Drosophila melanogaster: one gene and its partners. The protein of the gene in region 3 interacts with the protein of the main gene of each other region in a pairwise test. Each region holds a gene or a part of one and is shown on either strand. Other genes may lie near its edges.

Region 1 (3,601 bases), on a different chromosome or scaffold from region 3:
GAACTTTAACTGACAAATTTATTGCATTACATACAATAAAATAATACAATTGAATAACTTAAAGAAGTCTTTTCATTGGAGTTTAAGAAAAAAAAAGTCCAACACTTATGGTAAGTACAAATTTAAAAAAAAATTATTCATTTATTTATTTATTTAATCATAAGCAAGATTTATTATACATCTGGTACATACAGCAATGTGCAAAATAGTTAAAATTTTTATATGCAAACCACATTTTAAAGCATTCATTTAGTTATCTGAAAATCTAAGCTTAAAATGCCTTTTTTTTTAAGCCACAGAATTATTTATCATTACTAGTTTTTTTCCCATACATCTTAAAAATAAAACATTTCAAAATTCACTGACGGGACAGTTTTTGATTTTCTCTTCTTATCTTTAAAACCTTATATGATTAATAAAAAATAATCACATAGTGTTCATTATAGGAACCCATTTCTGATAACAACATGTTAAAACAAAGCCTGTATATTTTAATTTTAAAAAATTGACAGACACCTTAAAAGTTACAAGGACAACCGTTATTTTATCACTTATATTCAGTTTTCTGGTTATTCTTGTGTTACCTTCCCAAATGCTCAAACTAGCCACACATGATGATATGATGAAAATATGAAATTGATTCGATGCGATGCCGGGGAACTATTAGTTTGGAATTTGGTTCACCACGGAAAGAACGGGGCAGGTCTTTTTGATAATGATACGACGGAGGTGGTCGTTGATGGCAAATCCGCGAATGACGTTATTGAGCATTATGCCTAACACCTCGCCTGTGCTGTCATCGGTCATGGTCTGAGGAACGAAGTGGTTCACGGCATATGCCATTACAACGGCCGACTTCCTGTCCATGACAATGGCGGCCACCAGGCGACCGATGCTCTGCGGTCTGCTCTGGGGAGTTTCCCCATCGGTCATGAATTCCTTGGCCAAGGCGAGACCCTTGGCAACAAAAGCAATCGTGTCGTCGTGCACATAAGCGGGGGCCTCTAAATAGGCGGCCGCCGAATGCAGCAGGATGCAGGACACCTCCTCCATTTCGGCCCAGAAGACGTTTCGTGAGGTTTTGAAGTGACGAGGACAATGGTCGGCATGCAAGCTGGGGATCGATGGCGGCGAGTATGCCTGGAAGACGAAGTCATGGCTGTGATAACAGATTACGCCTGTCACATCGGTCACTTCTCCAGGTGAATGGCTAATAGTATCAGACGCGATCGTCTTGTAGGTTACATTGTTTGCATTCAAGTTATCTCCCTGCTCTGCAAAGAATCCCGAATCTGGAAACGTGAAATTTGGACCGTGAATGTAGACCATAAGTTTTTCTGGTTGAAAGAGCTCGGTATTCTGGATTAGGGCCGAAACGTCTACATCGTAAGTGACATTTTTTTTCCTCGAATCGTGGTCTACGACCTCGTTTAAATTCTCTTCTGGAGTCATTTCATTCTCGCTATCCGAGATTTCGTAAATTATAGGAGTGTCCATTACTTCCTCTAAAGCTCCGTAGTCTTTGACGTCGGCTAGAATCTCTTCTGGGGTCACGTCCTCTTCGCTTTGCCAGACGTCATCATAGATTGGGGCAGGATCCTCCCCGAAATTAATTTCATTGTCGTAAATAAGTAACAATTCATCTTCAGCATGCGCAATAAAGACTTGGTCACAAACAATGTGGGTATCCATTGTATAAGCTATTTATAGTATTAATTATCTTATTGTCAAAAAAAAACTTTCTTCCGAAACGTGCTATAGCCAGGGATGGAGATACCCACTTATCGATAAAACTATTTTTCTGGGTGAATGGCGATATTGGGGATTAGTTATATAATTTAATTTGTAAAGTTAGAAAAAACAAATATTGCGTTTTTCATACACTGTTAAATATGTGATTCCTTGGAAATTTAACAGCGATTGTTATCATTTTTACAAGCCTGCTACACGAAGTTATAAACACGGCCATATTGTTTACGAAAGAACTAGTTTCTTAAGAGTTTTCTCCACATCTCAATTTTATAAGATGACAACACTGCTTAATCGATTTTAAAAGCAGAGGTGATGAATAGCAAATTGACCAAATATGAGATTTAACAATCATCAATTTAACGCAATAGTGCAACAATCATCTGAGTGGTAGAAATATTTTAAGCTTGGTGTTTGAAAAACGAATAATGAAATGTTAAAACATTAGTGTCGGAATGTGAATGGAACCAGTTTTGGGTGTATTTACAACGGAAATATAAAATTAAGCCATCCGAGCCAACGGGGTGGACAATGGAGTCAACAGTCGGGTCAAGGTCGACTCGTTGTCTAATTCCAGGCGAGGCAACAAGGACAAACGTGACTGAAAGGATTGAGGGTTTGATCCGGCCATTTTCCATTAGGACAGCCGACGTCCTGCAATTGTTGTCGACCGCATTGTGTCTGGCAAATAAATTAAAACGGGGAACATCGAGAGATTTACAATAATAGTAGCCCAGAACATTAATAAAACGGATAAAGTTCGTAATCTGTTGGCATGCATGTATGTATATTAGGAAACGTAATAGAAACAAAATATATGTAGTTCGTTCTTCTGGAACTATAGCATTCATTTTCATTTATTGATTATTTTCCAGTGAAATTTAATTTACTGTAAGTTACTTGAACGTTACTTGAGAGATTCAGAGATCCTTGAACATATTTTAATTACATATGCGGGACTCGAACTTGTCCTAAAAATCCTAATGGAGTTATGTGGCGTTTCTTCGCGCCATTCTCGTACTTGGAGGGGTTTAAGTTATACGAGTGTAACAAACATCCTGCGGTCAAGTCGCCATAGGAATGTCAAAAGAAGAACTCTATACTTTGCAGACTGCCGATTCTTGTGCGAGGCGGAGAGTAGTGGTTGTGTAGAGTTCACAAAAAAAATTAACAAGTGAAGGGGGATATGATTAAAAAAAGTTTGTAAAGCCCAATCATTGCATCAAATTTTTATTAACGAAACTATTTGCTTTAAGATTATTTTTTGCCATTTAACACAGTCTTGGCTTATATTAGTTTACCATTTTGAGAGAGTTCTTCGTATCTAAATCTGATAATTTGAATAAGCTTCTCCAAACTTGCTTTGACCTGCGGCCCTAAAAGAATCCTCATAACGAATGCCTGGCAAGGATTTGTCTCAACTTTCGAACGCAGCTTTCGAATGCAAATTTAATGCAGCAGCCAACGCTGCGAAGCCGCATAATTCTCGAAAGGGGGACTAATGAGGGCTTATTCAACGGGGGGCGTGGCAGGCAAAGGAAGTGCCTGCAGGCTGACCAGGCTCATCTGTAGCTTTTGCTTTTGCTTGGCTCGTAACAGGGTCAAACTGTAAGTAGGAAATGCAAAGGGCATTCACATTTTGATTTCATTATTGCCATTTTCTGGGCTGCATATTCAGACTGACTTCCGAGTGCAACGTCACCGCCTTAAGGATGGGTTTCACCTGCTTTTCCTCTAATAAGTGAGAGTCTGAATGCGACGAAGTGGGGTGGTGTGTGCGTGTGTGGGTGTACCCATTGTATATGCTCTTCTCACAAGGTGAGCCATTGAAAGGAGCCAGGATCAAGGAGCA
Region 2 (4,184 bases), on a different chromosome or scaffold from region 3:
TGGCATGAGTTCGATCAAAAGGGAGCGGGCACCCCATGGTGGGATCACTACTTACTTGTACAGGCAGTGCGCTGCGGTCAGAACCTTTCTGGGCGCGATTAGCGCCCCGCCGCAGATGTGGCCGCTTCCAAAGTTGTTGTCGTGGCGGAGAAGGCGGATGGAGACCAGGTGGCGCGTCTCGTCCGCCTTGGCCACGCTTCCATTGATGATGCGCGACTGCTGATTCTCCTGAAGGTCCGCCGCCGCGCAGGCGAGAAGGAACCAGAACAGAATGTAGCTGCAGCCGTGCAGGCCAAACTGAGTCATCGCAGATCAGATGAGAAGAAACAGAGCGCACGAAACTCACTGAATCGAGGGGTCGAGTCTGGGAGCCAGCAGCCCAAACTAACAATTGGCAATCAGCGGAGGCGCTATCAGTTCGATAAGGCAAACATAAACATATTAGGTGTAGATCACATCCGCACCTCATCACCAGGAACATGTAGCTGGGGGTCATGATGGGGAAACCAGGGCGGAGATGATCAATCTGATCAGTACGTTTAGCTTCGCAAGTTCAAATAATACATTTAATTCAATGTTGATATGTCTCTACACCAGTTTGCTTATAAAAGGTGGAATATGGTCTAAAAATTTAAGCTGTAAACATTTTTGAGCCTATATAAAAAGTATAATGGTAGATGTGTAAAAAGTTAGTGGATCTTTTTGGTCGCACTGATCTTACGTTTAGCTGTACGTGCTATTTAATACAATTACAAACGGATACGAGCTGATCTCGGCTGAGTCGGCGTGTATATAGATACATATGGTCGATTGTTAAAGGCACTATGGACGGCGTCGATTGCGCAGATTCGAGGCACGAGATTGCGTCTGAAAACTTAAGCTAAGATCCAATCGGAACGGAATGTATGGAAGTCGGGCGGACAGCTGTTATATGTAGCCCTGCAGGCTCCGCGACTGGCTGTGGTGGTGGCGCGGCGGCTGGTAACCCGGCTCCTGCATCTCCATTTGCATTACCAGGTTCTTCTGCTCGCCGCGGGCGTCGTAGGCTTGCCGGGCCTCGCGCTGCAGGATCAGAGCGGCTAGACCAAGGAGCATGAAGGTGACAACGGCCAGGGCGTAGGACCAGCCCAGCACGTTGAACTTGGGGTACATCATCCAGTCGCGGCGGTAGGCGCAGCCCCCGAAGATGCATACGGCCAAAAACATGAACAGAGCTGTGGGAGACCGCTGTTTAGCTAGTACTTATTGGGCGGGAGGCAGATACATACACGAGATGGCGGTGCCCATGTAGGAGAGGCGGACGAGCAGCCACTCGTACTGCAGAACGGCCTTAAGAGGCAGTCGGATGATGGTAAGCGAGAGCAGGGCCAGCACAAGGAACACGATGATGAAGGACATGGTCACGAAGCCCTGCACCGCCATGAGCCAGCCGGGCAGCAGATACTCACGGATAACGTAATACTCCTGTACGAGTGGGAGAAGATCAGGACAAGGATAAGAACCGGCCAGTTTGCTGTACTCACGTGCGAGAAGATGTTGTGGCAACCGGTGAACTGCTTCAAGAACGCGTACTTGGGGTACACGAAGTCCTTAAAGCAGTACTGCCACAGGCCCATGTTCTTGAAGCTGGCCCGCGTCTCCTCGTAGGACTCGATCCAGTACGGCGAGCAAAAGGACATCATCAGCACGAAAAAGCTGGCGAATGTAACTATGGCGCCGAAGACCACGCCATCTGGAAAGGGAATTGGGCATTGAAAGTATTTGGATGCAAATGCAGATCGGCCCGCATGCTTGAGTGCGTCACTTACTGGTGGCCCGCGGATAGTCGCCCTTTTCGACGCCCGAGTCCGTGGTGTCCTGCGACTGCTGCTTGTTAAGTTCGCGCATGCTGCTGTCCTGGGTCTCGAGGGATCGCAGTTGGAGCAGAGGAGTTTCTTTTCTGGGGATTGTCAGTAAACAAATACAACGCACACACCCAAAAAATGCAGCAACAACTAGGTGGGGCTAGCGATGGGACAGTGTCGATAAGAAATGTGGTGGGGCTCGGTCGATATACCGCGAATTATTTCAAAATACCTTTTTATTAAATTTATTACTTTAGGCTTGTTGATCTTCGGAAAGAGGGGCTATTTTGCAAAATGCTGTTTAAATATAAAACAAACCCATGCACAATCGATATTTTTTCACCCCTAGGTGAGCCCAGTGTGACCAGTACTTAGTGCAGAATACCGTTCTTGGTTTTTAATTCCATTCATTTCGTTCAATAATTACTATTTTATTTAATGCTGTTTGAGAAATACGATCATGTCCATCAAATGGCCCCGTCCACCTCGTGGTGCTCCAGGTGCTTCATGTAGGCCAAGAAGCAGGTCCAGCACAGGCTGCACGCGCTGATGAATGGCACCCGGTTGCGCTCGGGGATCAGGGTGAAGTTGATGGTGGCCACCAGTGGCCATACGGACAGAGCCACCTGCAAGAGCGATGGAATTGGTGGGTTAGGCGGCAGTTCTCCCTCGAATCCCAAAAGAGTACCTTGTACGTGGGCAGGAATTTCTTGCCGACCTCGGCTACCGCCTGCTCCACCGTCTTGGACTCCAGGAGGCTCATGATAAAGTAGAAGCAGGTCATCGCGCCGGGGGTGTACGAGATCGTCTCCACCGCCGCCTTAATGACGCCCGTCCTCAACGATGTCTGCGGCCACATGGCGCTGGAAATCTGAGGAGCAATCGGAATAGGAGTAGACCTAAACAGCAGCCATGTAAACGGTCACTAACCTTGACCCATCCGTAGAGGGTAGGAGCAACAAACAGACCACCGTACATGCTGAACCGGAGCACGCGCCACCAGTCGTAGGTGCCTGTAAGATGAAGACGAGAAGGATAAGGAGCTGAGAGCTGCTCGAAAGAATGCCGACTCACCCCAGCGCCTGCCCTCAACCGTTTGCTGGATGAGGCTGCCCGTGGGCCAGATCAGGCTGTACGATATCATGCCGCGCATAATCGGGTAGCGGGTGACGAACACCTTGAAGTTTTGCCACAAAAGTGGGCCCGCCATCGCAATCTCGGCCCTGCGGAGTCACAATCGCGCGGTTGGCATCTCATTAGCATGGCTAATACTTCAGGCCCACAACTGCATGGCCAGCTCTACCCACATAAAACCCACAAGCGAATGCGGGCCCCAATATTCCATAAATTGCCCTGCTCTACCTGTGAACCGTGCACATAGATGGCCGTCATGGCTTGGCTAGCAAGGCTCGCACTTTTCTACACGGCAACCTTCCTTCTGGCAGGAGCCTCTGGCGAGGATGGAAAAATCGTCAACGGCACTACAGCTGGCCCGGGGGAGTTTCCCTTTGTGGTCTCGCTGCGACGCGCGAAGAGCGGACGTCACTCCTGCGGCGCTACGCTGCTCAACCCGTACTGGGTCCTGACAGCCGCCCACTGCGTGCGAGGCTCCTCGCCAGAGCAGCTCGACCTGCAGTACGGCAGCCAGATGCTGGCGCGAAACTCCAGCCAGGTGGCCCGCGTGGCCGCCATCTTCGTCCATCCAGGGTACGAGCCGGAGGACAAGTACGTCAACGACATCGCATTGTTGCAGTTAGCGCAGTCCGTCGCTTTGAGCAAGTTTGTCCAGCCGGTGCGTCTGCCGGAGCCTCGACAAGTCACGCCCGGAAACGCCAGTGCTGTCCTCGCGGGCTGGGGATTAAATGCGGTAAGAGAGAAGCCATTCCTCCTTCAGACTCCTTGACTATCGACTGAACCTTTCAATTGTAGACGGGCGGCGTGGTCCAGCAGCATCTGCAGAAGGTCAAACTGCAAGTGTTCAGCGATACCGAGTGCAGCGAGCGCCATCAGACCTATCTGCACGACAGCCAGATCTGTGCGGGATTGCCCGAAGGTGGAAAAGGCCAGTGCAGCGGCGACTCCGGAGGCCCGCTGCTTCTTATTGGCTCCGACACCCAGGTGGGCATTGTTTCTTGGAGCATAAAGCCCTGTGCACGGCCACCGTTTCCGGGCGTCTTCACCGAGGTGTCGGCCTACGTGGACTGGATTGTAGAGACGGTAAATAGCTATTCGCCCCCGTCGTCGCTTTGGGTGGGCCAGCTGATTGTGGGACGATCCCCGCCTAGCCTAAGCAGCTAATGGATTTAACAGGCCCCATTAAAATACGGATTAACATACGCT
Region 3 (2,639 bases):
GCACTGTGCGTCACTACGATTTCTATCGCGACAGAGAGTTACCCGTGGAGGAGCTCATGGACACACGCCTCAAGGTGACGGACATTGCCGGTGCTCGAAGTTGTGGACAGGAACAGGTTCTGCTCATCCTGGACTCGACTGGAAAGGTGCAGTCGCGCACTCTGGACTACTAGCTTGTTAAATATTTTCTAATTATTTGTATGCGTTTGTTGAAATCATTTTTTAAAATGAAATAAACTCGAACTAGTCCTACTCACTTTTAATCAATTTTAATGGTTTCTATTGCACAATTTGTGATATATAAATGATATATATATGACTTTATAGAACTATAGTACTAGCACTAGCAAAATACTCTATATAGATGGGCCAATATTTATATATCTGAATAACATATTTTTTTAAGGGACACCTGCATATGCATACATATATTATTAGAATATCCTTAGTATTTATTTTAAACATTTATTAACATCAAACTAAATAATCTCACTAGCTTCCCTCATTGATATGTACACTTTTCCATCTGATCCCGCAGAGTGGTTCACACCTGCCTGGCCATGGACAACATGCCGCCGGCTGTTGTGGCTCCGAGGAGCTGGCGCACCGTTTGCAGTTCATCCCGCAGCGCCAGGACCTGCGCCCGCAGAATGGAGTTCTCCTGCTCCAGCAGCGCTGCTCGGAATGCTATCCTATCCTCGCGGATTTTCCGCGCATCTCTGGACCTCTTGGCCGCCTCGTTGTTTCGCTTGCGCCGCTCAAAGTACTTGGCATCCTTTTGAGCCTCCGGAATGGGTCGCTTTTCACCGCGGACGCGACGGTGCACAAAACCCGGAAACATACCGCCTCCAATTACGCCCACACGATTGAGCTCCATCAGCGGAAATTCCAGTGCCTGGAGAGCGTGACTTGGTGGTGCGATATACTCGAAGGCGGGTAGAGTTTCCGACGATCTCTTGGCACCGATCATGCCGGGAAAGCCCAGACCGGTTAGCCGAAGATTCTGGGGAATGGAAATGGAGTAGGACGGATTGTTCTTGGACTCCAGTTCCGCATCCAGTTCGGAGTGCATCGATACGGTCTCGGTGACATCCAAAATGGGCGACTGGGCGGGCGAGTGCATCCTATATCGGTGACTTCCGTTCGCGCCGACGGCCGGGCTATATCTGAATCCAGCTCCTGGCTAAGAAGCTAGCTACTGGCGAGGCGACCACCTGCCTGCCGTGGTAATTATAGGTTCTTGTCACACAAACTCCCCCACGTACACACACACACACACACATACACCCGCTTTGGGGCTAATTCTAAGCCAGCCACAACCCTCCATCGCCGGCTGATTCAACCAATCACGCAATGTTGACGGTAATTATTCGTCAAATACATGACACTTGGCCGGGGCCGCATGGCATTTATTTGTGCTGCCCGGTTACAAGGACTTCATATAACTGGTTAGCCAGATTACATGCCCCCAGCCCAGTCCAGTCCACCTCTCCCCGCTCGCCGATCACTTCTTGGCCCTTGGAGTTGACCAACTGTTATGTGTTGGGGCGGAGATAGTAAGGCTTACCCATTGTCCATGCGCTGACCAATGAGAGTGACCCTTGGCTATCGACCGGCATTTTGTGGACGAATATAACAGCGATAACAGCGGTAATAGTCTGAAAGAGGCGTGGTGGAAGCCTACTTGCACTCACTGAAAGTTATCCTTTAGGATATCTTACTATATAGCAAAACATGGGGTAATGTAAAATGTAAATCATGAATATGCAATTTTTAGTCATTACATTAAAATGAAGCCATCTTATTTGAACCATTATACAATAGATATACTTTTTTTGATCCTTAAACTGATAGTTCTTGTAGATTCCTATCACTCCAAATCATTTTATCAGATATTCTAGGCATAATATATCTTCAATTGCTCTATGTGAACTTTTTATTTCCGAGGTTTTTTGAGACTTAAAGGATTTTTCCAGCGTGTACCAATCGATTTCAATAGTCCTAAGAGGAATAGCTTCTGCTCCTTTTTAGCTGAGCTCCAAAAACTGCAGCGTCAGAAAGTTGCAATATGCCTAATCCGCTATTATTAAGACATCAAAAAGTTGTTACCAACTTTATTTTGATCAAGCATGATTCTTCAAAATCGTAAAATTTTACTTGCCTTCCGACAATGCCACTCACGACATCCAAGACCACCGTATGCATATCCAACAACCATCGACATGTAAATGAACTCCGTGTGTCGTCTTTAACCCGTTCCGTTTCGTTTCGGTTTGAGAAAGTGTCACCTGTTTGTTTGCCGGGGTGGTAAATTGGCAGTTTGGGTCACGGAGTCCTTGCCGTCTCCGGCAACCGGAAGTCGCATCCTTATGGCGTTTCATAATGTATGCGCTAATTTATTATCTGTTGGCAAAAGTTTGGGCCATACATAGTTAACCCTTTGACTGTCATGCCACCGATGTTTCGTTTATGGTGTTTTGGCCCAACTGAGAGCCGAACCCGGAAATAATGGATTGCGTGCCGGAGTGACATGTCTGGAGAATTGGAGGCAGTCTAATATCCATCAAAGGGTCGAGCGAGATGGATTCGAAATGCACACATATAGAAAGCAGTACGTTTTGGAATCGGTTTGAATTGGT

Evidence for each region. The genes of interacting proteins can lie anywhere in the genome.
Region 1: the proteins of CG7786 (region 3) and CG15185 interact in a two-hybrid assay, tested with the Drosophila melanogaster proteins (one large-scale study listed by BioGRID).
Region 2: the proteins of CG7786 (region 3) and pck interact in a two-hybrid assay, tested with the Drosophila melanogaster proteins (one large-scale study listed by BioGRID).

Annotation. Positions count from the first base shown.
Region 1 is NT_033777.3:6,525,620-6,529,220, reverse strand, and holds CG15185 (uncharacterized protein), read right to left. Parts: upstream 1,714-3,601; 5' UTR 1,693-1,713; coding exon 664-1,692; 3' UTR 547-663; downstream 1-546.
Region 2 is NC_004354.4:1,468,688-1,472,871, reverse strand, and holds pck (pickel), read right to left. Parts: upstream 2,207-4,184; 5' UTR 2,077-2,206; intron 2,025-2,076; exon of another isoform or gene 2,005-2,024; 5' UTR 1,888-2,004; coding exon 1,809-1,887; intron 1,733-1,808; coding exon 1,524-1,732; coding exon of another isoform or gene 1,465-1,523; coding exon 1,269-1,464; intron 1,215-1,268; coding exon 928-1,214; 3' UTR 547-927; downstream 1-546. Other genes in the region: CG14780 (uncharacterized protein), read right to left, coding at 56-306; CG14778 (uncharacterized protein), read right to left, coding at 2,312-2,470, 2,533-2,715, 2,775-2,857, 2,919-3,054; CG32808 (uncharacterized protein), read left to right, coding at 3,226-3,711, 3,774-4,142.
Region 3 is NT_033778.4:16,233,814-16,236,452, forward strand, and holds CG7786 (uncharacterized protein), read right to left. Parts: upstream 1,124-2,639; coding exon 545-1,123; downstream 1-544. Other genes in the region: CG15701 (uncharacterized protein), read left to right, coding at 1-173.